Linked DNA regions of Caenorhabditis elegans. The protein of the gene in region 1 purifies or fractionates together with the protein of each later gene. This does not show direct contact. Each region holds a gene or a part of one and is shown on either strand. Other genes may lie near its edges.

The links.
Region 2: the proteins of F33H2.6 (region 1) and E04F6.8 fractionate together in Caenorhabditis elegans (co-fractionation; one large-scale study listed by BioGRID). This does not show direct contact.
Region 3: the proteins of F33H2.6 (region 1) and F42A10.7 fractionate together in Caenorhabditis elegans (co-fractionation; one large-scale study listed by BioGRID). This does not show direct contact.

The regions. Positions count from the first base shown.
Region 1 is NC_003279.8:15,012,855-15,021,711, forward strand, and holds F33H2.6 (Regulator of microtubule dynamics protein 1), read right to left. Parts: upstream 3,742-8,857; 5' UTR 3,726-3,741; coding exon 3,457-3,725; intron 3,398-3,456; coding exon 3,221-3,397; intron 3,065-3,220; coding exon 2,928-3,064; intron 2,567-2,927; coding exon 2,436-2,566; intron 2,260-2,435; coding exon 2,068-2,259; 3' UTR 2,000-2,067; downstream 1-1,999. Other genes in the region: pole-1 (DNA polymerase epsilon catalytic subunit), read right to left, coding at 1-244, 297-935, 980-1,020; dog-1 (Helicase ATP-binding domain-containing protein), read right to left, coding at 4,619-4,847, 5,663-6,118, 6,376-6,464, 6,902-7,066, 7,145-7,268, 7,319-7,477, 7,551-7,699, 7,928-8,232 and 2 more.
Region 2 is NC_003280.10:7,208,480-7,215,826, forward strand, and holds E04F6.8 (Cuticle protein), read right to left. Parts: upstream 2,902-7,347; 5' UTR 2,901-2,901; coding exon 2,814-2,900; intron 2,665-2,813; coding exon 2,440-2,664; intron 2,394-2,439; coding exon 2,319-2,393; 3' UTR 2,272-2,318; downstream 1-2,271. Other genes in the region: E04F6.15 (DeHydrogenases, Short chain), read right to left, coding at 385-918, 969-1,077, 1,345-1,604, 1,734-1,790; E04F6.9 (Periplasmic protein), read right to left, coding at 3,201-3,278, 3,323-3,547, 3,594-3,677; E04F6.10 (uncharacterized protein), read right to left, coding at 6,356-6,508.
Region 3 is NC_003281.10:6,175,645-6,183,557, forward strand, and holds F42A10.7 (MD-2-related lipid-recognition domain-containing protein), read right to left. Parts: upstream 3,043-7,913; 5' UTR 3,034-3,042; coding exon 2,681-3,033; intron 2,582-2,680; coding exon 2,371-2,581; 3' UTR 2,272-2,370; downstream 1-2,271. Other genes in the region: abcf-3 (ABC transporter domain-containing protein), read left to right, coding at 1-67, 168-408; F42A10.6 (MD-2-related lipid-recognition domain-containing protein), read right to left, coding at 550-648, 694-808, 854-1,019, 1,067-1,217; Zinc metalloproteinase nas-28, read right to left, coding at 5,434-5,593, 5,644-5,867, 5,916-6,067, 6,239-6,370, 6,415-6,616, 6,709-6,828, 6,875-6,945, 6,993-7,157 and 2 more.

The sequences.
Region 1 (8,857 bases):
CGGTGTGTATTCGAACGCATTAATATCAGCCGACACGATTTCTCGGTTGATAATCAAAAATCCACGTCCATCAACCATATATGATATCATCATAATTTCATCGCTCTCACGATCCGGAAATTTCAACGGAAGTTTCGTTGTTTCAATGTCAAAGGCGAGAACTTTCGGCTTTGCGTGGAACAAGGGCAAATCTTTTCGCTTTATTGTTGGAACACGGTTCGGGCCAATTCCTTTCACATCGTACCTGGAAATTTATAAATTTAGAATTTAAAAAAGAAGAAAAGGATGATTCCAACCATAATCCGACGAAGATCTTTTCATCGATGGAAACTCTCATGTGAAAAGGCACGTCGTATTCTCTGATATCAACAATTTGATTCAAGATGTCACCATTCAACTGTTGATCCTTACTATCTCCTCCTTTTCCACTCAGATTCCTCGCCAAATAGTCAGCGTACGCCGACTCTTTTTTGATGCGATCTGTGTTTTTCCGCACCAGCGGCATTAATTCCTTACGGATTTTTATCAATTCCACGGTGCTGGTGAATGAGAGTTTGATATATGTCTTCTTCAACCCAGAAAGATGATCTTTCAAATCTAAATCCTCCCGATCCATATGTTCAACTGCTGTCTGGGCTCCGTACTTCTTGGACAGATAACTGGATACTTGGAATTCAAATCCATCCAACGTGGCAATATAGAAATACGGTCGAAATGGGTAACTGATTTTGAAGCGTTCGTCCATATCACTGATGAAGAAATAGTCAACGACCGAAATAATAACTTTGGTTTGCTCGTCGACAAGCTCCGAAGGTTGGATGTTTATCAGAAATCCTTTTTTCTCCTGTAGTCCTGTGTATCTAGAGAAACCAAGCTTCGCATCAATCTCATCATTTGATCTGATCAGGGCAAGCCGCTCTTTGTAGTTTGAATCACTAAAAAAAGAAGATTTTATACTTTCTCCATTCTTGAAACAAACTTTTCGACCGCCTGTGCAAGAATGTCATCCTTGGAGCTCATTGAGCTTGCTGGCGATGACCGAACTTGTCTGAAAATACTGAAAATCAAATAACTAAAGAAAAAACTAGATAAAATGGCAAATTTAAGTTAATTTCATGGGAAATCGAGTTTAAAATGCAAGATTTCGCGCGCTCGGCCAGAGGACGAGTTGGGTGGAATTCTAGGCCACCAGATCATAAAATGGAGGGAAGGAGCAGAATTTGAATTTTAAAGCAATACAATTGAATTTCCGAGAGGCACCACGGAGGCACCACGTTTTCAAGATTTGTTCAAAAACAAGATCTACGAAAACAAGATCCACCAAAACAAAATCTACCTTTTCAAGATCTACCAAAACAAGATCTACGTTTTCAGGATCTGGCACCGTGCCAACTGCGGTTTTCTCTACGCGTGCGTACGCGTGTTGCGTAAATTCTAGAAGAAAATTTCAAAAAATATTCGTTTGAACGCTAAACAACACGCGAACGTAACATCGGAGCATCGTTGTTTCGTTTTCTTCGAGAAAACCGCAGTTGGCACGGTGCCAGATCCTGAAAACGTAGATCTTGTTTTGGTGGATCTTGTTTTCGTAGATCTTGTTTTTGAACAGATCTTGAAAACGTGGTGCCTCGCACCACGGTATCAAGATCTGGTAAAATTCCGGATCTCCGTTTTCCGGATCTACCATTTCCGGATCTACGTTTTCCGGATCTGGCCAACTCTTAAAACGCTATTTTTCTCGGAGAAAAACGTGACAACGATGCTCCGTTGTTAAGCGTCGCGTGTTGTTAAGCGTTTCTTCTAGAAGAAATTTTCAAAAAACAACGTGCGTCGAGTGAATAAAAAAGCGTTTTGTGGGTTGGCACGGTGCTAGATTCGGAAAACGTAGATCCGGAAATCGTATTTCCGGAAAACGTAGATCCGGAATTTCACCAGATCTTGAAACCGTGGTGCCTCATTTCCGACAATATTATTTAGCTGACATTAGACAATTATTAAATTCAAATAAATATTTTTATTCTGTTAAAAATTACAACAATCATCTTACAAATACATATTTTTCACAATCTAAACAACTTCAGTATCCTTGACTCCATATTTCTTCAGTTTCTCGTATGCTTTCTTATGAATAACCGCGTCATCAGAAGTCACAACTGGCATTTTGAATGATTGTTTGAATGCATCAAGTGCTTCGGCTTTTTGTCCTAGTTGTTCGTACACTTCGCCAATGTAGTAGGTATTCGTACTGTAGAATCCGGGCTGAAAATTTGAATTTAACTATAATGATCTGAATTTTTCGTGGCACTATTTACTTCCCAAGTGGAGGAAAATGTTCAAAGTGTAAAAAAATTTGGTCGACAACTTTTCATTTTTGTATGTTTTTGATTGACTATGAGAGATTCACTAAAAGTGTTTGAATTCTGATATTTTTTTACCGAAATCTGTTCAGCCTTTAGGAAATAGTGTAGAGCCTCCTGATATGTGGATGCTGGTGGAGTTGCGAAAATAGCTTTGGCCACCATTCGAGTCGCGTAACCCATATTGGCGAAGGAAAAGTGCCAGACTCCTGAAATTTGAGGTTTTCTTTTTAATTCTCGAAGCGAAATGCAGAAATATCTAAAAAAAATAATGGTTAAGCACCGCCCGCCCCCGTTGATTGAACGGTGAGCTGTAGAGCTTTAATTCGGAATAAACACGGGGTGTCAGAAAGTCTCATTGCGGTTTGATCTACAAAAAATGCGGGAATTTTTTCCCAGAAAATTTGTGACGTAAGCACACTGTTAACCATGCGAAATCAGTTGAGATGTCTACGTCTCACCTCCCGCATGTTTCGTAGATCAAAGCGAAAAGGGACCGTCTGACTCCACGTGAATAAATTCTAACATGATTTTTCTTTTTTTTTCTCTGTTCAATCCGGAATCCCTTACCCAAAATATGCCACGTTGTTGGATCGTTCTCGAAAATCGATAACGCCTTCTCTAAATGTTTCCGCACTTGGAATGATTTTTCGATTCTCGATTTGTTTCCCTCGATCTCTCCAACGTAATCCAGTAGAATGGCATACCTAAAGATAGCCATGTGGCATAGAAAATGCTAAAACTCAGCCGCCAAAAAAGGCAGGTGCTCAGTTTTCGATTTCCACCCTCAGTCATAGTTTTTTTTTCTCGCAAAATTGTGTTGTTCTACCCGGAATAAATAGCGTTTTAACTCCAAATCGTACCATTTATGTGCTCCAAAGCATCCATTCTTTGGCTCATTGTCAAGAGCTTTTTTCACAATTCCATAGGCTTCCAAAATGAGCTCTTTTCGTTGATTTTGATCTTTTGAGAGTTTTCCTTTCTCACAAACCACACGTGCCAGACGCCATAGAAGCTCGGAGCAATTGGAATTTTCAAATCTTAAAAATTGGAAAGAAAAGTTAAAATGGACATTTCTAAAAGTTAATTGAAAATTCACTTTTTCAAAATATTATAACAATTATCGATTAGATAATTATCATAAAGTTCATCCGAATTTCGAACAATTAAATCGAAATTTTTCGGTTTTCCATCAATTAATTGTCCATTTCCTGAGTCCAAATTCTTGTTCTCTTCAGTTTTTCCAAAAAATGCGATTCCAAGCGAGGTTCCACCAGTGATTGCAATTAATTTCGGAAGTTTTGGAGAAGATGTCGGGCGGCGAGAGAAATTCGAAATAAAACGGAGATTGAATACTCGTTTGAACATTTTTTTTCTTCAGAGGCTGCAAAAATTAGACAATTTTAAATAAATTATAAATATTGAAACAAAAATATATTATTAATTTCGATGGCCTTTTTCCAAGTACATAGGTAATTTTTCAAAAAACTCATACTCAAAGACGCATTCACTGAATTATTCCAACCCCCTAATTCCGAATATCTTTAAATTTTTTAAACTAAAAAAGCCTTAAATTTATCGTTTTTTTTTTCGAAAATTCGGATTTTCATCGAGTTGTGATTTGGATATAATAAAATGTTCAATTGACACGGAAAAAACAATTTTCCAAATAATAACCAAAAAAAAAGTTTTTGAAAAAACATGACAGATGGTGAAAAATCCCGTAAATCGACACAGCACGGTGCGCCCCAATGAGACTGCCTCTGGCGCGTTAAGTTTTGGGTGCGAGATTTCAAGCTGAAATATTAAATCCGAGAAGTTTTTTTTTAATTTCACAAAGATATTCGGAAAGAGTCATACGCCAAAACCTTTTTCGAACAAAATGAAAATTTGAAAATTAATTTTGAACACTCGAAAGGGAAAAATTTTGCGTTCAAACTGGTTCCAGGCAAGTTTTAGAAAAATTCTCGTAGGCTACTGAGAACGCTATAATGTTGTCAGCATTTCACAGTTCAAAGTACAAGTGGTGTAAAGGTAAACACTGATAAGTGATAATGAGAGAAGAGAGAAAAAGTTCGGCCAAGCTTTATGAAAATCGATTTGAAAAAAGGGGTAAAAACAATGCATTAGGGAGATTCTAACTTTTAAAAAAGACGTCTAAAAATTGTTTAAGAAAATGAGGAAAAATCATAAATTTTACACGTAAAAAAGATAAGGGGCGGGGGTTTTAATCGAAAAAAAAAAGTTAGAAAAAGTTTAATTCATTCACAAAAATTCTCTTTTTTTGCTTTCTCAACAGCGTGTCGACGCTGGATGAATTCGCGAAAATTCGCATTAAATTCTTTAAAACTCGGATAGCTTTTCAGTTGAGCACGAATCCATTTTGAGACACGAGCAGACGAGGCTCCGCCCACAAGATTTCCAGTTTGACGTTCTAGGCGTTCATCGATCATTAGCATTGCTCCCCAGTCGTTTTTGTGCCGGAGACATCTGAAGATTTAATGAATTTTAGATTGTAGTGAAATTTGGCCAGATGGTTTTTCTACTGATTCCCTTATTTCACGTGATATTATAGATTTGATATTACGGGAACACTAAATCCTGAGAATGCGTATTTTACAACATATTTGACTCGCAAAATATCTCGCAGCGAAAATTACAGTATTTCTTTAAAAGTAGCGCTTATGCCGATTTACGGGCTCGATTTTATTTTCGAATTTGGACAGTGATATTCAATTTTCCTTCGTTGTTCGTATTGTTTAGTCATTTTTGTACTTAAAAAAATTTTATTCATTAACCAACTGTTTTAATAGAAAAAAACGTGTAATATTGCCTTCATTTTGATGAGGAAACTCCTATTTACAAACGTATTTTTACATTATTTCCCGTCTATTGCAGGTTTTCCAGGTGAAACCCGGCAATAGACGGAAAATAATGTAAAAATACGATTGTATGAGTTTCCTATAAGGCAATATTGGACGTTTTTCATTTAAATATTTTTTTTTAACACAAAAATGACAAAACAATACAGAAAAAAAAAGACAAATTAAATACTGCTGTCAAAATTCGATTAGGAAATTCGAAAATCGAGCCCGTAAATCGACACAAGCACTACGGTAGTCATTTAAAGGATTACTGTAGTCTTCGCTACGAGATATTTTGTGCGTCAAAAATGTTGCGCAAATTTCAGAATTATGTGTTACAGTAGAAAATTGCTGTGTTTTGAACATTTGTAGCATAGCATAACATTTTTTAAATAAAAAAAACGTAGTTTTTATTCCACGCGGCTTTGTATATATATTCACCTTCCCAAAGCCTGATTCAATGCTCGATAGGCCTGCGTGGTATACCACTCATCGCCAGTCAAAATCCCCTTTTCCTTGGAATTCTGATCATTATACAACTTTTTCGCATTCACTTGATCATCCATCGCATTTGGATACGGAATTCCGACAGAAATCACCACACGCGCACGATCATCGGCAAAATCAATGCCCTCGGAAACTTTTCCACGAAAAACGGCAAACATAAGAGATCCGTTGATGTTTGCACCGAATCTAGACGGATCGAAGATCGCCGCATCGAATTGATCCATTACTGATGTTAATTCTGAGGATCTTCGCGGCTCGTAGAGCACAACTTTTTTCATTTCGATTTGTCGCATTGTTGAATTACGGATCATACATTGTTTTAATTGATCTAGAACTCGATAGCTGGGGAGAAAACATAGAATTCCTGCTGGCACGTTACTGCATACATACCTGCAAAAAATGAGCTGATTTCTTAACATTCGAAAATTTTCCAACAATTGGAACATTTTTCAAGGCTTTTGTAACTTTTTATAAAAAATTAGACAAAAACTAAGTTTTCCGATTTGAATTTTCAGAAATTATATTTGTTTTAAACAAGTCTTGATTTAAATAACCTAAACAAAATTTGACATTTTTGTTGAAAATCTATTCATTTTTTTCAAGTCTCTCTGAAAGTAGAAAATTCGAAAAATAATCCGCCAACGTACTTGATAATTGCTCCAAGCTCGCAATAAAATGAAGATTCCGGATCTGACGTGTTGCGGTACGTGCACTGAATGCGATTTCCAAAGGGACCCTGGAATTTTTAAATCAATTAAATTAATAAGGCTTTCCTTTTTATTTTGGTAGTTTTTAGACCGTATTTTCGAAAATAAACCTTGTATGCTAGCCGGAGACTTATAGGACGAATGACATACTTTTTCAATGCTAGCATTAATGCTAAGTAAATTAACATAAATTTGCATCAAAAATTTTAAATCCTAATTCCTGCCTCATTTTGGTTTGATCTTCGAGAAATGAGAAGAGACGCAGACTTTTCAACTGATTTCGCATGATGAAGAGTGTGTTGACGTCACATTTTTCTGGGGTAAAATTCCCGCATGTTTTGTAGATCAGCCTGCAATGAGACTGTCTGACAACACGTGCCCTGTCATCTCTTTAAGAAATAAATTTCATTCGTTCGGTAATTCTCAGGGCACCACACGACGCTACCTAACCAAATGTTTTCCTTACAATTGGCAAAACCGCTGCGAAAATGTTATCCTTATTAATGACTTGATCTCCTTCTACTTGTTGCTTGAATTCCATTCCTAATTCGGTTTTCAAAGTGTCCATTGGGCACAGAGTACCCGATGCGAGGACTATAGAACGTGTTTCGTTGAATGCGTCGAAGAAAGACTGAAATTTCGATTTTCACGCTTGAAATTTAATTTTTGTATTAGTTTTATAGAATTATAGGACTTATATTGTACTAACCAATGCTGGACTCATACACCACAAGCTGATCGTAGTCTTGCAGCCCTCTGAAATCGGTTTATGACCCGTCTCTGACATTGACGGATCCTTCCAATCGTCTCCGTCAGCTGCAGCATCTGCTAGCCTGAAAATTGAAACACATTTTTTCATATTTTTAAAAATTGCTTTGAAAACCATGCGTTCTCCTCCTTGTACTGCATGTTTCTGGGTCCCGCCGAGCTTCTTGTCGTTGTTGGTCTTGGATTTCCAAATGAAGTCGACATCGAGACGTCTGCGTCAAAAGTATGATTGAATCGCCCATTTTGATTTATCGGCTCAATAGAGATGTTTAACCTGAAATTGTAAATTTTTGTAGTGTTCGAAAATCCAGAAACCGAACTTTCGTTAATGTTTCGAAAATACCTACCTATACGTGGATTGGTACTGCTGATTTCCAAAATATGACTGAAAATACAACCATTTCTCTATGCAGACTATCGCTGTAGAGCTTGGCTTGAACGCGTCAAAGTACTGCATTTCAGGCTCATTATGCTTCGTAATCGCACTGAAAGACGCCTGAAATCAAAGAAAATTCAATTTGTGATTTAACTTTAAATAATGATTTTTTTGAACAAATTAGAAAATTTTCGAAAGATTAAACATTTCTCGAATTTTTTTTGCGTGGAATAACGGAAGTTTTAGTTATTTATATTTTTAATCGTTTTTTTTCTATTCTCTAATACCGAAATCCAATTAAAAATTTGATACGCCATCAGCCACACCGCCCTGATACCAATTACGTACCGCCACTGCTGCATGTTTGGGTGTCAGTGGTGGTGTGAACAGATCGACACCATTTTCTGGATCGGTCAATGATGTAAAAAGATTTGCAGACGATATTGTGCATGTCTTCACACCATCCTGACCACCTCTAGCCGGCGTTTTCGCCTCCGTCGACACTTGTCGGATCCATCGAAGCATCTCAAGGATCAGGTGTTCAAGGTAGAGAAGATGTCCACGGAATTCTTTTAGATGCACTTCTCGATCTGGAATGTGGAGAAGCTTCTCTTCGATGCCGGTTTTATCCAATTCCGTGTCAACTGCTTTTCCTGTAATTTGAATTTTAGGAAAATTTCCTCACATTTCGGCAGTTTAGTTTGTTTTTTTGTATGTTTCACTCAAAATTCTAAACTATCGAAGAAACTCCGACGAGACAAAATTTGTTAATTCATTATAGCTATTATGTTACATTCTCTTTTTTTCCAGTTAAATCTCACAAACTTTTAATTCTCAGCGACAATATCGAATCATCGAGCTCTTTCTCGGTGAACGAGAAGCTTGCCGCTTCTCTGCACGTGTCTTCGATGTTATGAGCTTCATCCAAAATGACAATCGAGTTTCTTATCTGAACATCTGACGAATTTCGAATCAATGGGTCCACCAGATACGAAAATGGACAGAAAATGATGTCAGCGTCTTGGGTGAGAATTCGGTTTGTGCTGAAGTAGGGACACAGCTGAGGATATGATATGGCCAACGTTTCGACAATTTTTTCCATATCGAATACCACTGTTCCCTGCAAAAATTGATATTGCCCGTTTCCTGAAGCTACTTTTATAATTTTCAATATGGTTAGGTTTTTTTTAAAATTTAGAATAAAATTTTTGATGTAATCTTTAGTTTCCAAATTCAGTTTTTTTAATAAATGAAAAAAAAACGAACATTTCGCTCTAA
Region 2 (7,347 bases), on another chromosome or scaffold:
GTTGATAACTCAATAAATTGAGTCCATAAATATTTGCTCCTTACTTTGTGATGAAAATGAAATAGATAGTAAGCAATTTTGAGAAAGCGAAAATTTTCGTTTCAGGTACCAATTTTTTGGAACCCGAAACTGGTGTCGAAGGTATAATTAAATAGGAAATATATTTTTTTTTTAACTTTTATATTTCAATTGGCTGAATTTTTATTATTATAGCGAGACTCGTATTTAAAATATTACCTCAAGTTTAAAAAAAATTAGCTTAGAGAAATATGAAGAGTTTAAAGTTGTAAATATCTCCTCTTTTTCTCTAAAAGGCGAAAAAATAAATAAAATTTTATTTTGAGCAATGTTTCAAGAAAAGTTATCGATAATTAAAATCTAACTTTATGAGTCCAAATACTTCATGATAAGTTTTTCTGAATGTTCCCATAAAGCTTCTTGAAGTTCTTCGTCTCTTGAAACTTTTTTGTCCAAATTCTTTTCATCATCCCAACACGATTCCCAATACTTTCCGGACAGTTCTTTCACTTCAGGATGTACTGCACAATAAAGACTTGTTGCTGCTCCCTGGCTTGCATTCTTTGTAAATGGGATTGATAGAAAGTCAGCAATGCTCCATAAACCAAAATCTCTATGAAGATCTGTGCGAACTCCAGATCCTGGATGAACTGCATAAACACTTATTCTATTTTTAAATTCATCTCGATGCAATTTGAATGCGGTTAGAATGTTACACATTTTTGATTTTGCATACAGGCGGAAATACCATTGAGTTGCTTCTTTTGGACAAAGTGTGTCAAGCTTTTCCACAATTCTGGAATCAGGTTTGACGCATGTATGCTTGCTGAGCATTGATGTAACTATTACAATTCTTGATGGTGCTGATTCTCGAAGAACTGGCAGAAGCTCCTTAATTAACTGCAAGAATAATTCAGTTAAGATCGGGTTTTTTTTGTAAAAAATCATACAATAAAATGAGCAAGATGATTGATTCCAAAATGAGCTTCAAATCCATCGGATGTTGTTTTTTCACTTGGACCAAAAACTCCAGCATTCAAAATTAATCCATGGAGTGGCCTAAGAATAGATCAAAGATAAGGGAGGCAGGATTAATAAAATACAATATTTAAGTGATGAGTTTGGAGGATATTAGTTTAAAACGGAAATAACTTAACATGGGTTTTCAAAATTTCACTAAAATTTTAGATCTCTGATTAAAACCCGTCTTGTCTCAGAGAAAATTTGAATATAGAGACACCAAAATATTTCTCCATTTCTAACTTCGGTTTTTCGGAACTCTTTAGATCATTTTAAGTTTTTAAATGTATCAACTTTATCGCTTACCATTTCTGTTCTAAGTATTCATCTGCTGCCTTCTTCACAGATGATAGTGAATTCAAATCACATTGAACAATATCAATTTGAGCATTTGGAGTTTCAATTAGGAGAGATTTCTTCGATGCTTCAGATGCTGTATAATTCCTGTTTATCATTACAACGTGAGCTCCTTTTAAAATCAATGCTTTAGCAGTCTCAACTCCGATCCCAGATGTTGTTCCAGTAATTGCAAATGTTTTACCAGAAAGGTCAATACCATCCAATACCTGAAAACGGATTCAATTATAGCAAGAATTTGAAACAGATTAAAAACACTAGGGAGTAGGACATCATCGAATTTTTAAAACTTAAATTTAGGAAATTGATGAAACATTTAATACTAAAAGAACGCTTACTTCTAGTGCATTTGTTCTTGAATGAAACTGCCGTTTCCTCTTACCATCAGCAACCATTCTGAAAATGAAAAAATTGATGAGTTTCTGAATTTCCTGTTTTATATTGAGAAATTATGATGTGAAGTTCAATGAATATTGGTAAAACTGTAGCTAAATTGACATATTTATCTCTATATTCATGTCATATTTTCAGGTGAAACGAGGAAAATGATCGATGCAAGTTGAATGATTTTTCATTTTCTTATCAGTAAAGTAGTACTTTCGAATAAGAAAAAAACTTACTATAAGATTCGCCTTATTGGAATTAAAAATCACACTAATTTCCCTATTTGTCTTGCGGTTTAATTTTAAATAGCCGAAAAAAATAGTAAAAATAGAAATAGTGTTACAGAAAATATTTAACAGATCAGTGCGGAATTTGCTCTGGAGATATTTTAACAGAACTTTTTGTGGGCGTGAAACAGTTACTACATTCAAATTTCTTTTCCAAATAATGGTTAAATAATTCCTTCAAACAGGTTTTTACGAAATATTGCAAACAATTTATTGTTATTTAAAAGAATTTATTGAAACAGTTTTTAAAAGTTATTGAAGAGAAAGTTTGAGAACTGGCGCGGCAACTCCAGAAAATCCATGATCCGTTTTCGTTTTGATAATTTTCTGAAATTAATACTTTTTCAATTCGGGAATTTCAGGAATTCAATACCGTTGGATATTCAGAATATGATCCAACATCAGCTTTTGTGAACTTTTTGATGACCAAATGTCCGTTATTCTCTTCATAATTTGACGAGTCAATAGCTTTTCCATTAGCATCCACAAACACTCCTTTGTTTTCTCCTTCGAAATGGAAAATCTGTTCGCCAGCGTCAACGGATCTCTGGATTGCCTTGGCTCCTTTGAAAAGTTCAATTTGCACTTTTTCGCCATCCTAAAATGGAATTTGTAAAATACTACTTGGTATTTCAAAATAAGAAAACTTTTGAAGTTTCGAGTAGTTTTGAGAAATACATTTAAAATTTCCTGTAGAAGCATGAACAACAGTTTTTAAACTATTGTCAGATAAAAAACTTTACAAACCTTAACTTCTTGAACTGCAATTGATCCTTCTCCAAACTGAAGAACAAAGGCAATCAGTATAAACGAAGAAATCAAAAACCGGCTCATTCTGAAAATGATAAAAAAAATTTAAGGAAAGCTTTTATTGAAAACAATTCAAAAAGCTCCTGAAACAAAGTTTTCTCAGATGATTTTGAGAGAAAAAAGAATGAAGAAAGAAAACATCTCTAGAACCCATTAAATAGTGACGAATGAGACTTGATTTATTGGTCACCTGTTGACTGAATAGAGGTCACGCCTATTTCTGTTCTGACTCACATTTTTGTTTATTTTTGCAAAGTTTGCACGAAATTGTTTTAAAAATTTTATTTAGAGAAATTATTAGAACACATTCCGAATGAAATTTGTTTATTGCAGGGAGATATCAAGAGTGAGTCCTGGAACAGCGGAGATGGATCCATCAGCGTGCTTGGTTTCGGTGTTTTTCTGAAATAAAACATTTCTAATTATTTCTCCCACTGAAAACTTACAGCTGGGTGCTCGGAGTAGGTTCCAACATCGGCCTTGGTGAACTTCTTAATGATAAGGATTCCGTTATTAGCTTCATAATTGGTTGACTCAATCTTCTTTCCCTTAGCATCAACAAATGATCCCTTGTTATCTCCGTCAAGGTGGAAGATTTGATCTCCACCGGCAACGGTTCTCTTGATTGCCTTGGCTCCCTTGAAAGCATCGATTTCAACTTTTTCTCCGTCCTGAAAATGATTTTTTGTTATTTTTCAAATAGGAGTTACAACAAACCTTAACCTGCTGTTGAGCAACGGCAGCATCGGATATGGCAAAGATGGCAACAAGGAGGAAAGCGGAAAGAATGAAGCGGTTCATTTTCTGAAATTTTATTTAATTTTCAAGAATGAAAAAAGTTTTGTGAATTGACACGAAATTCAGAAGAACAATTGAAAGAAAAAGCACAAAATCTTAAAGTGATGAAACCTTTCTCTTGGAACAACAATAAATAGTGTCGTCAGCCAGAAGATACTGCCTTCGAATGAAAAAAATAGGGTAAGCACCTCCGCTGGTTAAACTAAACGCCCAGCCCACTTTGCAATCAATCACTTTGTTTTTATCATTTGTTTGTTGGCTAGAGTGAGAGAAAATATCCTTCTTGTTATCAGAGTTATACAAAAAATCCTACAGAGTTGGAACACGGAACTAGAAAATGAGGATTCGTTTCCTTAGACTGTTCAAAGAATGTCATTTGGAGAAGTATTGAAAATGGAACAATCAGGAAGTTTATTTGTTCTTAAGATCAATGTGAGAACACTATGAAAGTTCACAATGATGGGATTGAGAAGGTCGTGTTTTGAGGCGCGTAGCTTTTTTTACTGATAGATGTGAAGTTTACAGGATGTTTAGTCGATTTTTAATATGTCGTTTTTTAGTTGGAAAGATAATTTAATTGATAAATTAGAGTACTTTAGAGTTCCAAAAATTACTGATAATACATAATTATGCCTCAAAAAAATTACGTGTATGTGTAGTTAGCTTTACCGCTAATAAGAGTTTAGTAAATAAGAAAAGAGGTGAATCGAATGTGTCTTATCTGAAACCGATTTATGCCATTTTGTGGCCAAGCAAACTTTTATAGTCCCTATCTTAATTGAATTATGTTGTGATGGAAAGTAAGAAATCAATAGAGCGGAAATTTTCTTTTTTGAATTTTTTTAACTGATCAAAAACACCTTCTATATTTTTGATGAATTATTATTTCTAATTCACAAAAGACGAGATTGTGTGCTCAAGATTGAAACAGGTTTTAAAACAATCAATTTGAAGGCGAACTTGAAGGCGACTAATAATTTTTAGGACTAGAAAAAAAAACGGTCTTATTATCAGAATATTACAACGCATAATAAAAAATTTAAACATCAGATATAAAATATACGTTCTGTGAGTTAAATGAATAACGTTTCAAAGGCTGAGGCCTTACAGATTCTTCAGCTCTTTTTATACTCTACAAACTTTGTGTTATTCTTGAAAATTTTCCGACCTTCGGATCAGTTTCCGTCACAACAAGTGAATGAGTCAGTAACAACAGTTGACACTTTCATCGTTAAGATTCTTTTCTTATCGTTCCAACTCATAAAAATGGATGAAATGAATTGTGAAAACAGGATTTCGAAGTGTGGAAATTTTGAACATTCTTCTAAAAAGATCAAATTGATCTGAATCATCAGAGTATATGAAAAACGTACAAAAAGTTAAACAATCAGATGCATTTGTTTGATTATTTTGAAAACCTATCGTCTACCGAGATTGACCTAGGCTATGACAAAATGATAACAAAATAAATAAAACTGTTAATATTCATGTTTGCACAATCCATTACAAATATATATAAAAACTTTGCCATGAAGGAATTTTGAATTATCCAATAAGACTTCCTGAAACTTTTTGAAAGTGGAGTATTCTGGGGAATTTTATTAAACTTCACCATATCATTTCCCTTTAAGGGACTATTTTTTCAAGTGAATAACATGTCAGTGGTTGACTATCATTTCATTCCTGGATTAGTTGTTCCACATCGTCCCATGTACACCATCACTCTTCTTAGCTTGCCGCTTTTTTCGACGTCTTCTTCTCCTCCTTCCAGTCACATTCAAATCATCACCATCTATCATCAGTCGCCTTTTTTGGCTCACATTTTGTTGCTTTTTGCCCAGAAAAGGAATTTATTATTACCAGAAAAAAAAGGATTGGGATGAAGGAAAAAAGGGAAACATTTATGGAGGAAATATATAGCAAATGACAAATTGGCAGAATGTTTTGGAAATCGTACGGTAAAAAGAAAAGGAAAGAAGCATTGGGTCTATGTTGATAGAATGGAAAAACTAGAAAATTTATCTACCCGTAATGAATGAAGAGTTTTTGAATAAATAAATTGTCTTAAAGAAATAAAACTACAAACGTTTAATCACCAGCATCGAGTCTTCGCTAATCGTACGATCGATGGTTGGTATTGATGAATAAGAAGTCGATCGACGAGTAGTAAGAATTGGAGTACAAATTGAAAGAGTTGGAGATGAATGACGCCAATTGGATAGGGTTATTGTTGGATCATCGTCATCTTCAGATATTTCAATATCGGTCTGACAATCATCTTCCCGAAAGGAATATGTTGGGGCAGGTGATGCAGGAAAATGTAAAAATGTGGAAGGTCCTGAAATGAATGTTGGAAGAAGTTAGAAAGTTTTGTTCAGTAGGTCACAGTTTCCCCGCTCGAACCTAGTTAAACAGTATATCACAGTGTTTTAGAATTACACGAATGTTGTGTTCTGAGAAAATTGTTTCCTAATGACTTTCTTATTATTCATAAGTGTTACTTTGCGTTTCTTCTCACTCTCAGACTTGGATTATTTGTTTGTTTATACGCTTATTTGTTCTGTTCCCACATTTAAACTATCACTTCAAAAGTACCTGAAACCAATGAAGGAACCGATCCATCCAAACCCGTTCTCTCAGTCTCAATAACATCTACACACTCGCCAATCGGCTCATAGTCGTTACGTGATGGGATTCTTGTTGATTTTTTGATGGGTTGCCTGAGCGACCGGCACGCGACCAGACGGACCCCTTTCGAATCGATGTTCCAATTCGTATTCTCCACGTTGTCGCTGGCTTTGAAAAAACCGAATACACATGAAGATGGCTCCTCCCTGGAAAAGAACAGAATGAATTAATTGGTGTATGGCATGGTGGCAGCTTATTGGTAATCTCTCTTCTTGATTGATGAGGGGAGCATCAAGTCATTAATCAAACTAGGTTTTACATTTCTAATGTTGTTGGAATGCAATAGAATAAGACACCTGTTATAAGTTATACAATGAATGAAGAAACATATTTCGGCGGGGAAGATGTGTCAAGAGCGACCACAAAATGATTAATTGTCAGCTGATGCTCAGAGATTGTGGCATAATTTGATTGTTGGCTCGACAATTGGGAAATAAATTTTGAAAAAAAGAAAAAGAAAAAGAATAAAGAAAACGAAGTTTCAAAAAAAATTATTACACATTTGACTGACACCTCAAATGTGTATATGCAGAAGATCTGATGCTGTCAACTATACTAATTCAGAGTGCACATTTGATTTACTCAATTAGTTCAATCTTGGCAAAGCATGATATTCTTCATAGTATATAATCTAAGTTGTACAATTTTAATTAAAAAAACATAATAAAATTGGACAATATTTTCACTTTCGAAGGCTAAACTTCCTTTCCAATTGCCGAAGCTCTTTATTTATGTGTATGCTTTTCTACAAACATTCCCCAAATCAAATTGCAAAGTATCCTAAAATAAAAGATGGAATCAGGAATAAGTTGAAGAGGGGCGTAACAAATCCGTCATTTTCAATTGCTTAATGTTTTCTACTCGAGTGAACACCGTCATCAAAAGTGCGGTTGCTTGGTCCTAATGTACGACTTCTTCTAGGTGGTCCTTCTTCGACTTTTTCTTCACATTTTTCTACTATAGTTTTCTTTTTTTGAAAACAAAG
Region 3 (7,913 bases), on another chromosome or scaffold:
AATCTGTTGAGACACTTTCTGGAGGTCAAAAGTCTCGATTGGCATTTGCTAATTTAGCCTTGATGCAGTGAGTTTTGCTTGAAAATAGCAACATTTTCAAAAAATATTCATTTTTTCCTAGAAAAAAAAATTTATTCAAACTCCGTCTAATTCATAGTATTTTTCAGGCCAAACTACTTGATTCTTGACGAGCCTACTAATCACTTGGATGTCGAAACGGTTGAAGCTCTTGGAAAAGCGCTTAATGTTTTCAATGGAGGTGTCGTTTTAGTTTCTCACGACGAGCAACTCATCGAGCTTGTGTGCAAGGAACTTTGGGTTGTGAAGGATCGAATGGTGACAACTTTGGAGGGAGGACTCGAAGAATACAGAAAGCAAGTCTACAAGCAGCTTCAACTCACTGCCTAAATTTTTCCTGTTTTGTTTCGCATTCGGTTGTTTCCCATATTTCACCCAGTTTCCACGTTTTGTTACACTATTTAAGAATTCAATTTATAATTTTTGTTGAGAAAAAAGTTTATTGCTTTATTAAATTGTTCACTTCAAAATTTAAGTATGAGTGAGAGCTCTAGCCTGGAAAATAATGCAAAGGTCTTCCTTGCTCGGGTCATCATGAAGAAGATACTCGAGTTGGTAAGGCTTATCGTTCTGAAATTGGGGGTTTAACTTTCGAAGAATACACATCAAAATAACCTTGAGAAGATTGATGATAGCTGGAGTATCAGAGAAGTCGAGTTCCAAATTGATGACCTTGTTTTTCGGTTCAATTGGGCATGGTACTCCGTTGGTACAAGCATCGATGTTGTTCCTGGAAAAGGTTACTGTAGGTTACTGTAAGAAGCAAAAATCTTACAAAAGTCCAAAAGTTGGTACTGAAGACCATCCACAAGTAGCCATATTCCATGACCAGACCTTGATAGTTTGTTTAAGTCCAGGAGTAGTATAAGTTGAGGATGGATCATTGATGGATGTTGCAATGAGAAGTGGTTCAGTAAGACGGATTGGATATTCACTGTTACCTGGATTCAATTATACATTCGTAGAAACTATCAGAAAACTTGCGAACCACTCTTATCAGTTGGATTAACATTGGTCACCATAACTGGTCCATTTGAGCATTGCCACCAGTTGACCTTTGTCTCTGTAGTATTCGGCCATTGATCGCATGCCGACGAGAGAGCAAGTAGGGCGAAGAGACACAGACAACGAGCAAGCATCTGGAATTGAAGTAGAATTTTTCGTTTCGAAAGCTAGTGGATGTGATCTAAGTTGGAATAAAATAGTGAATCTGTAATTGGTTAACTGGGAAATTTGAGAAAATGGAAAACTAAATTGCAAAATGATCATCAAATTCGATAGGAAAAACTACGATAAGAGAAATATCAAAGCACATGGCAATTTGAAGAAACCACGCGTTTTAATAGTTTTTTGCATGTAATTGTGATTCTAGAATAAAAAAGAGGTCACAGAGAACCGGAAATATCCACAGGAAGTACTCATTTTCATTGAAAAAATTTCATATGTATATTGAGTATTCCTGAGAAATGCACCTTTCGAAGTCTCGCCACGATTGAAAATTTTGCTCACTCGTGCTATGCGCCTTTAAAACTTGGGTACCATACATTTTTATTTTTCATTACTTTGTTCAGCAACTTTAGCTTTATCAGCGTCTTAATATTACGTAGACGTCAGAAGATGAGAGTTTCCGTCATAATTTACGCAAATGGGTCTCGCCACGCGGAAAGCGGGTTACTGTAACACGTGTCAATATGAAGGCCGCTACTGCACCATGTTTTTCTAATACAATGAATAACTGATTCCAAGCTTTTTAAAATAAAATTATGATACAATGGAGGCCTAAGAAATTGACGCGTGGTAAAGTAACTCGTTGTACTCATAAGATATGAAGAAAATTTTCATTTTTGACGTCTATGCGATTTTTATATTCTTCTTCTATTTTGATCATTAAATCCGATGAATTGAAGGAAAGACAAAGTTTTAAAAAACCTGTGCAAGCACGTATTCTTCATACTTCCAACTTTAGGTACTTATTGAAATTTCTCAGTTTTCAAACTATAACTGAATCGGGAAATTATTAATAATTTCTGATTCCTTGTTTACTTGTTTGATTTTTGGTTCATTGCCAAAATGGCAAATATGCAACATTTTCCAGTGCGAATAGTTCTTTTTTATCAAAATGTTATCGCAACTTTAGTTCGATTTCGGAAATTTTTCCTTCAAATTGATAATGAACAAAAACCAACAAAAAGTCAAGATTATGTACATTTTATTGTTGTTAAAATATACGCCCGTGTTATAGTGCAAATATAATTAGAAATCTTAAAGCCAATCGCCAAATGGGAAAGCATTTTACTTAAGGAAGGCCCAAGCCTGGACCATCATGCATGAGGTGTCTCCGGATTGGTTGTCGTGAAGGATGTACTCGAGTTGATATGGCTGATTGTCCTTGAGTAAGGCGATGATTTGGTCGAACTTGGTGAAGTCAATGATGACGTCAAGTTCTTGGTTTCCTGGACGGACTGGGCATGGGACTCCGTTTGCGCAGGCGTCAAGGTCCTTCCTGGAAGATGAATCGTTATTTATTATTTAGAAGTCGAGAATAGCCTAAACAGTTCACCCATTCTAATCCATTAGAATTAACTTAAAGATATAAACTTACAAAAGACCGAGAGTTGGGATTGAGCTCCATGTGCATCCGTTCCATCCTCCATACTTCCAGATATTGACGGTGTTACGAAGATTTGGCGACACATATGTGCTCGTTGGGTTATTGATTTGAGTCTTGACAACAATTGGCTGACTCAAATGAATTGGGTACTCGTATTGTTTTCCGGTAGAGTCGTATGGAGTAGCATTCAAAAATTGAACTGGTCCAGATGAGCACTGCCACCAGTGCATCACTTTGTCGGTTCCATTTGGTGCAGCACAGTCTGCCAAGTTGTCGACAACTGGGAGAACAAAAGAAGTGGCAGCGATGCAAAGAACTGAGAGAATGACACACCTGAGAAGCATTGTGAGAGGCTGAAAGTTCAAGAATTCATTGAAAAAAATGACAGTTTTGAATGGTGAAATGGTGATAAGTAGTGATGATAAGGGAGTAGAATGCAAGTAGAATAACTTTGGGGAACTGGTTATTAAGAAGCGTAGGATCAGGCTCGGACTTCTGTTTAGACTCGAGCCCAAGTTAAAATGAATCTTGGTGTACATCATGACGATCTGCCTACAGCGTGAGTTCGGCTAAACTGTATTTTTCTACTGAAACGAATAAATGGTGAAATTATAAAACCGTTCGTGGCCTTAAATAACCAAAAGCGGAGTTTTTTCCCTACTATAGTCTAACAGAAAATCAGAAATATGACCTTCCACTCCTTCCCAAGCTCCTCATTTATACGTTTCAATTAATCTCCACCCCCTTCAAACATCCCGGGGCTCTTTCCTTATCAGACATCAACCCATTTTCTCTATTATGCTTGCTCTTCGGTATGTCCGCGACGTTATCAAAAACTTTTCTCTTTTTTTTTCTGAAACTCCCCTGTGCTTTCTCTAATTACTCCACTTCCTTTGCTCTCCAAATATACTCTATAATCAATTGACGTCGATGGAAAACTTGTTGCAAACACGTGCTGAAAATGACAATTTTGGGGCAGAGGGCGAACCGAACTCGATTTTTATTTTTTGGACACTGAAGTGGTAGCAAGAATGTGGTTTGAAAAGTTGTCCGGTTTAGAAAAAATGATAACGAATTTCGTAGAAGATTTGGGAGGATTAAAAAGTTTAATTTCCGCAATTCTTGCAAACCTGTCAAGTAAAACATGAATCGGTTCCGTTATCATTTGAAACTTGATCACTGATTGAAATATGAGTTTCACATAAAATATATATTTAGTCGATCATTTCCTGTTAGAATATTTGTTTATTGAGTTGCATTTTTGACAATTTGCACAGTTCCTGTTATGCGGCATTAAACCTATTTTGAGAGAATGTACGTACACAACTTTTTAATTATTTCGTTGAAACCAATTTACGTCTTATTGGAAAAATCTTTTCGTTTAATTAAGTTGGTCGGTAAAATGATGATAACTTTACAATCAGTTAAAGGAGAAGCAGGAAGAACGTACACATCCTATAGGTTTGAGGTTTTAAATCTTTCCAGAGCGAAATTTATATTGTTTAAGTTGCAAATAAATGTATGTATGGAAATTTATTTAATCAATCATGTTCTTTCAATTAAAAATATTTTAAAATTTCTCTGATAACCCAAAGTACCCTCTATGTAGAATACGAGACTATATAGTTATAATGGGTAGATTTTATTTTTTTTTTGTTGCACGAAGCGTTGTTGAAATACATTAAAAATCTGAGGAAAACATACGAAGACAATTGCGTAAAGCTATAAATAAGCCTATAATATTTGTAATTTACTCGATCTGTAATTGACGGGTTACTCTCATATTGATTTGTTCTATAATGGTAATTTCCATTTGAAACTCTACAAAAGTTCGAATGGATTTGTAGATGTTTCCTATAAGAACATTTTGGCAGTACCATTTCACCATTTACTTTGATAACCTGGGAACTTTATAAGAAACTTTTTTCCCAATTTTGGCATTCTTCGCATAACTAATTAAACCAAAAACTTTAGTCGATCATAGACTAGTTGATGGGTGTTTCCTCTCTGAAACATAATAGACCCTATGTTTTACAAACTATGTTCTATTGACTGATAACTTTTTCTTCTTTGTTCTTTTCCCCTTACAAACCGGTTCTGATAAGGGTAGTAAAATTCAGGAGCACCGCTAGCAGAAGTAGTAGCAACAACAGTATAAAGTACACGTTTCCTCCATGTGACCTATACTGCAATTTTCGGATTATTTGAATGACCTAGAACGAAACTACTTTCGATGACATTACAATTTTTAGTGTGTGATAATAAAAAAGTGATAGATAAACGTTTTTCGAGCAGAGCAGACATCAAAAGATTGAGAGCAAACAAGAGTAAATGCGCAATAGATTTCGGCGATATCCGGTTCAGAAAATAGGATGATATTTGTTTATTGGATTGTGATAAACATAGACTACAAGTTAGCCATTGTCATTTCTGAGCTAGGTGGTTTAAAAACTTGTATCAGAATTACTGTTTAGGTTTTCATTAGGTTTTCAACAACTTCAAATTTGTTTTTAAGCTTTCAAAACTTTCACCTAAAGTTGAATGTAAATAGATTTGTATTGGTGGTAACTTCACAAACACACTACACACAACATCATATTTTGAAGTTGACTTTTTTAGCACATTTTGGATTTAGATAACACAAAAATTCATTTCAAGTGGAAAGATCAAAGTAAACATGAGACCCTTGATTAAGATATAAAAGTCAATAAATTAATAAATTAGTATTCCCAATCCCAAAAAATTCACTGGTTCAAGCAAGCATTGGTTGAAGCAGGCTTCGAACTTGGCACTGCTCGATATTGAATGCTAAACGTCAACTGATTGTAGCGAATTATTCCACGAAGAGCAATCATATTAAGCTCAGAGGTGAACACTTGGTTTAGGATTGTGTCACAGCAGGTTCTGGAAAATAATTTTCGAACTGAAAATTCAATAGTATACCCTAAACTCACATCATTCCAAATAAGTCAAACTTTCCAAGATTAACTTCAATCGATTGCCATGGACATTCTTGCATACATATTGCTGCCAATGGAGTTTTTGTCATTTTGAATTCAATTTGTTGTCCTTCTGGAGCTTTGATATGCCAGTAACAATTGGTCGAATTGTCTGTGGAAGAAGAGAAGCTGGATGGGTCTCCGGCTTTTGCGTCGAAGGTTTCCCAAGAGGATGTAGCCTGAAAGCATTATGTTCTGTTAGTTCTCAAAAAGTTGTTTCAATCTACCTGAAGCACGGCTCCATTACAATTTGGAGCAGTACCAGATGGTAAGCTATCGCAGCTAGCTCCTGTGAAATAGCGCGGACATTTGCATTGATTACAGTTACGGGAGTCTGTGATTCCACAATTTGAACACTTCATTTGTATCTTGCATTGGCCTGGAAAAAATGAAAAGTGCTTAATGGCTAAATGAATAGTAATAAAATTTGGCTTGGTAATAGCTACATTTTACAGTCTACAGTCCGTCTACAGTAAGTTTATCCAATTTTGAACCCTACAGTACCCCATCAAAGAGTATATTACAAGACACATCACCCAATTGTGCTTACTTGTGCAATTGTACAACTTGTTCACTCCGATAATATCTGAAAATGCTGGTGCCTCTCGTTGTCCCATACTATTCTGGAATCCATTCTCCTTTGCCAAAATTGTATACTTCGATGAGTCAACAGCAAATGCATCTGTAATATTTTCATTACCAATTCAAATTAATTTTTGCTCTTACATGGGTAATACTGCATAACACTTCCATAATCATATGGCAAATTCAACAGCTGTGCCTGATCCACTGCCATTTTTTGAAAATTGTATGCCTGACTTGGAATGATATTGCTAAAGTCCACATAGACGTAGTTATCCCGATCGGCGCGTGATTGTTGGTGCCAGAAGCCAATGGCATGCATGAGCTCGTGGGTTGCAGTACCAAACTGAAAATAAATTGTTTTTAGAGCTCTTCATAGGAAGACATAAAACACTTGAATGTTTTCTGTAAAAATGTCTAAATATGAATAAAAATTACCGTATCACAGTTTGGCCCAACTGAAACCATTTGGTATGGCATGTCAACTTGCTTTCCGACATATGACCAACATCCTCCTGCAGATGATAAAAAGAGACGGTTTTTAGCATTATTGTCTTCCTGAAAAATTATAATTTGAAAAAGGAACCAATAGATTGTTGGAAACCTTGAAGCTCAGACAGCTGTTATCATTCCAAAATTGAATTGCTTTTCTGACATTGGCTATGTTGGTGGCGGCTGGAATATTTTTTCCCAGTTTAAACAAAAAATTTACTAGAACTTACATAATTTAGTATCAAATTGATAAAAGATCGGAACACTGACACTCCAAAAATTGGTAGTATCTACAATCGCTTGCCTCTTTGATCGATAATTTCCATTTTCAATTGCAGTTGCAATGTGTTTGGCTTGTTTCTCATTCAGCATGATGTCAGATTCAAATGTGTATTCTACAAAACACAGTTTCTTTTAACTCAAAAAATCGAAGAAACTTGCCGTTGATATCTTGATTCAGTTCTTCAAATTTCTTTGTCTGATTGTTCTTTGGACCGTAGTTTAAGGCAGCCTGGAAATATAACCTTTACAATTTACTATTTGGATAAAAATTTCATTGAAGGTTGGAGTATTTTTGATACCTACATTTAATTGTAAGTTAAACTAAAACCTACGAAAGTAACAGGAGGAGCAACACCTTGTCTTCCTTGAACCCTCGGAACACGATTCTCAAACGCCTTATCGATAATTCCACGAATCTTCTCTCGATTTGTAACTGAATCAGGATTATTGTCCACCAGAATCTTTTCCAGGGCCTTTTGAGTCGGGGCACCCAGCACGAAAGGGATGAAGAATACAACGGGGAAGAACATGTTTTGAATATGGATAACTAATTTTAGGCACTGTTTATATACGGGTTATCCATAGTGGTCCCAATGGTTTGTTGTTGTTATTCGAGAATGGAGGTTTATGAAAGTTTTTGAAAGAACAGGAACATCACAGCTTGAGTCATCATGTCAATAATAATAATGGTCAGTTAAAATGGATCCAGTTATTAAAATTTTGTAAAAATTGAATACGCCCTGTCAGTAACGGAAATAATCTATTGTGCTCATTCTCAGGTCATAATTTTATTTGCAAGTAGAGTTTGATCACGGATTTTTCTCAAAGTTCAAAAGCTCTTTTAACAATAATTATTGACTAAAGATTCT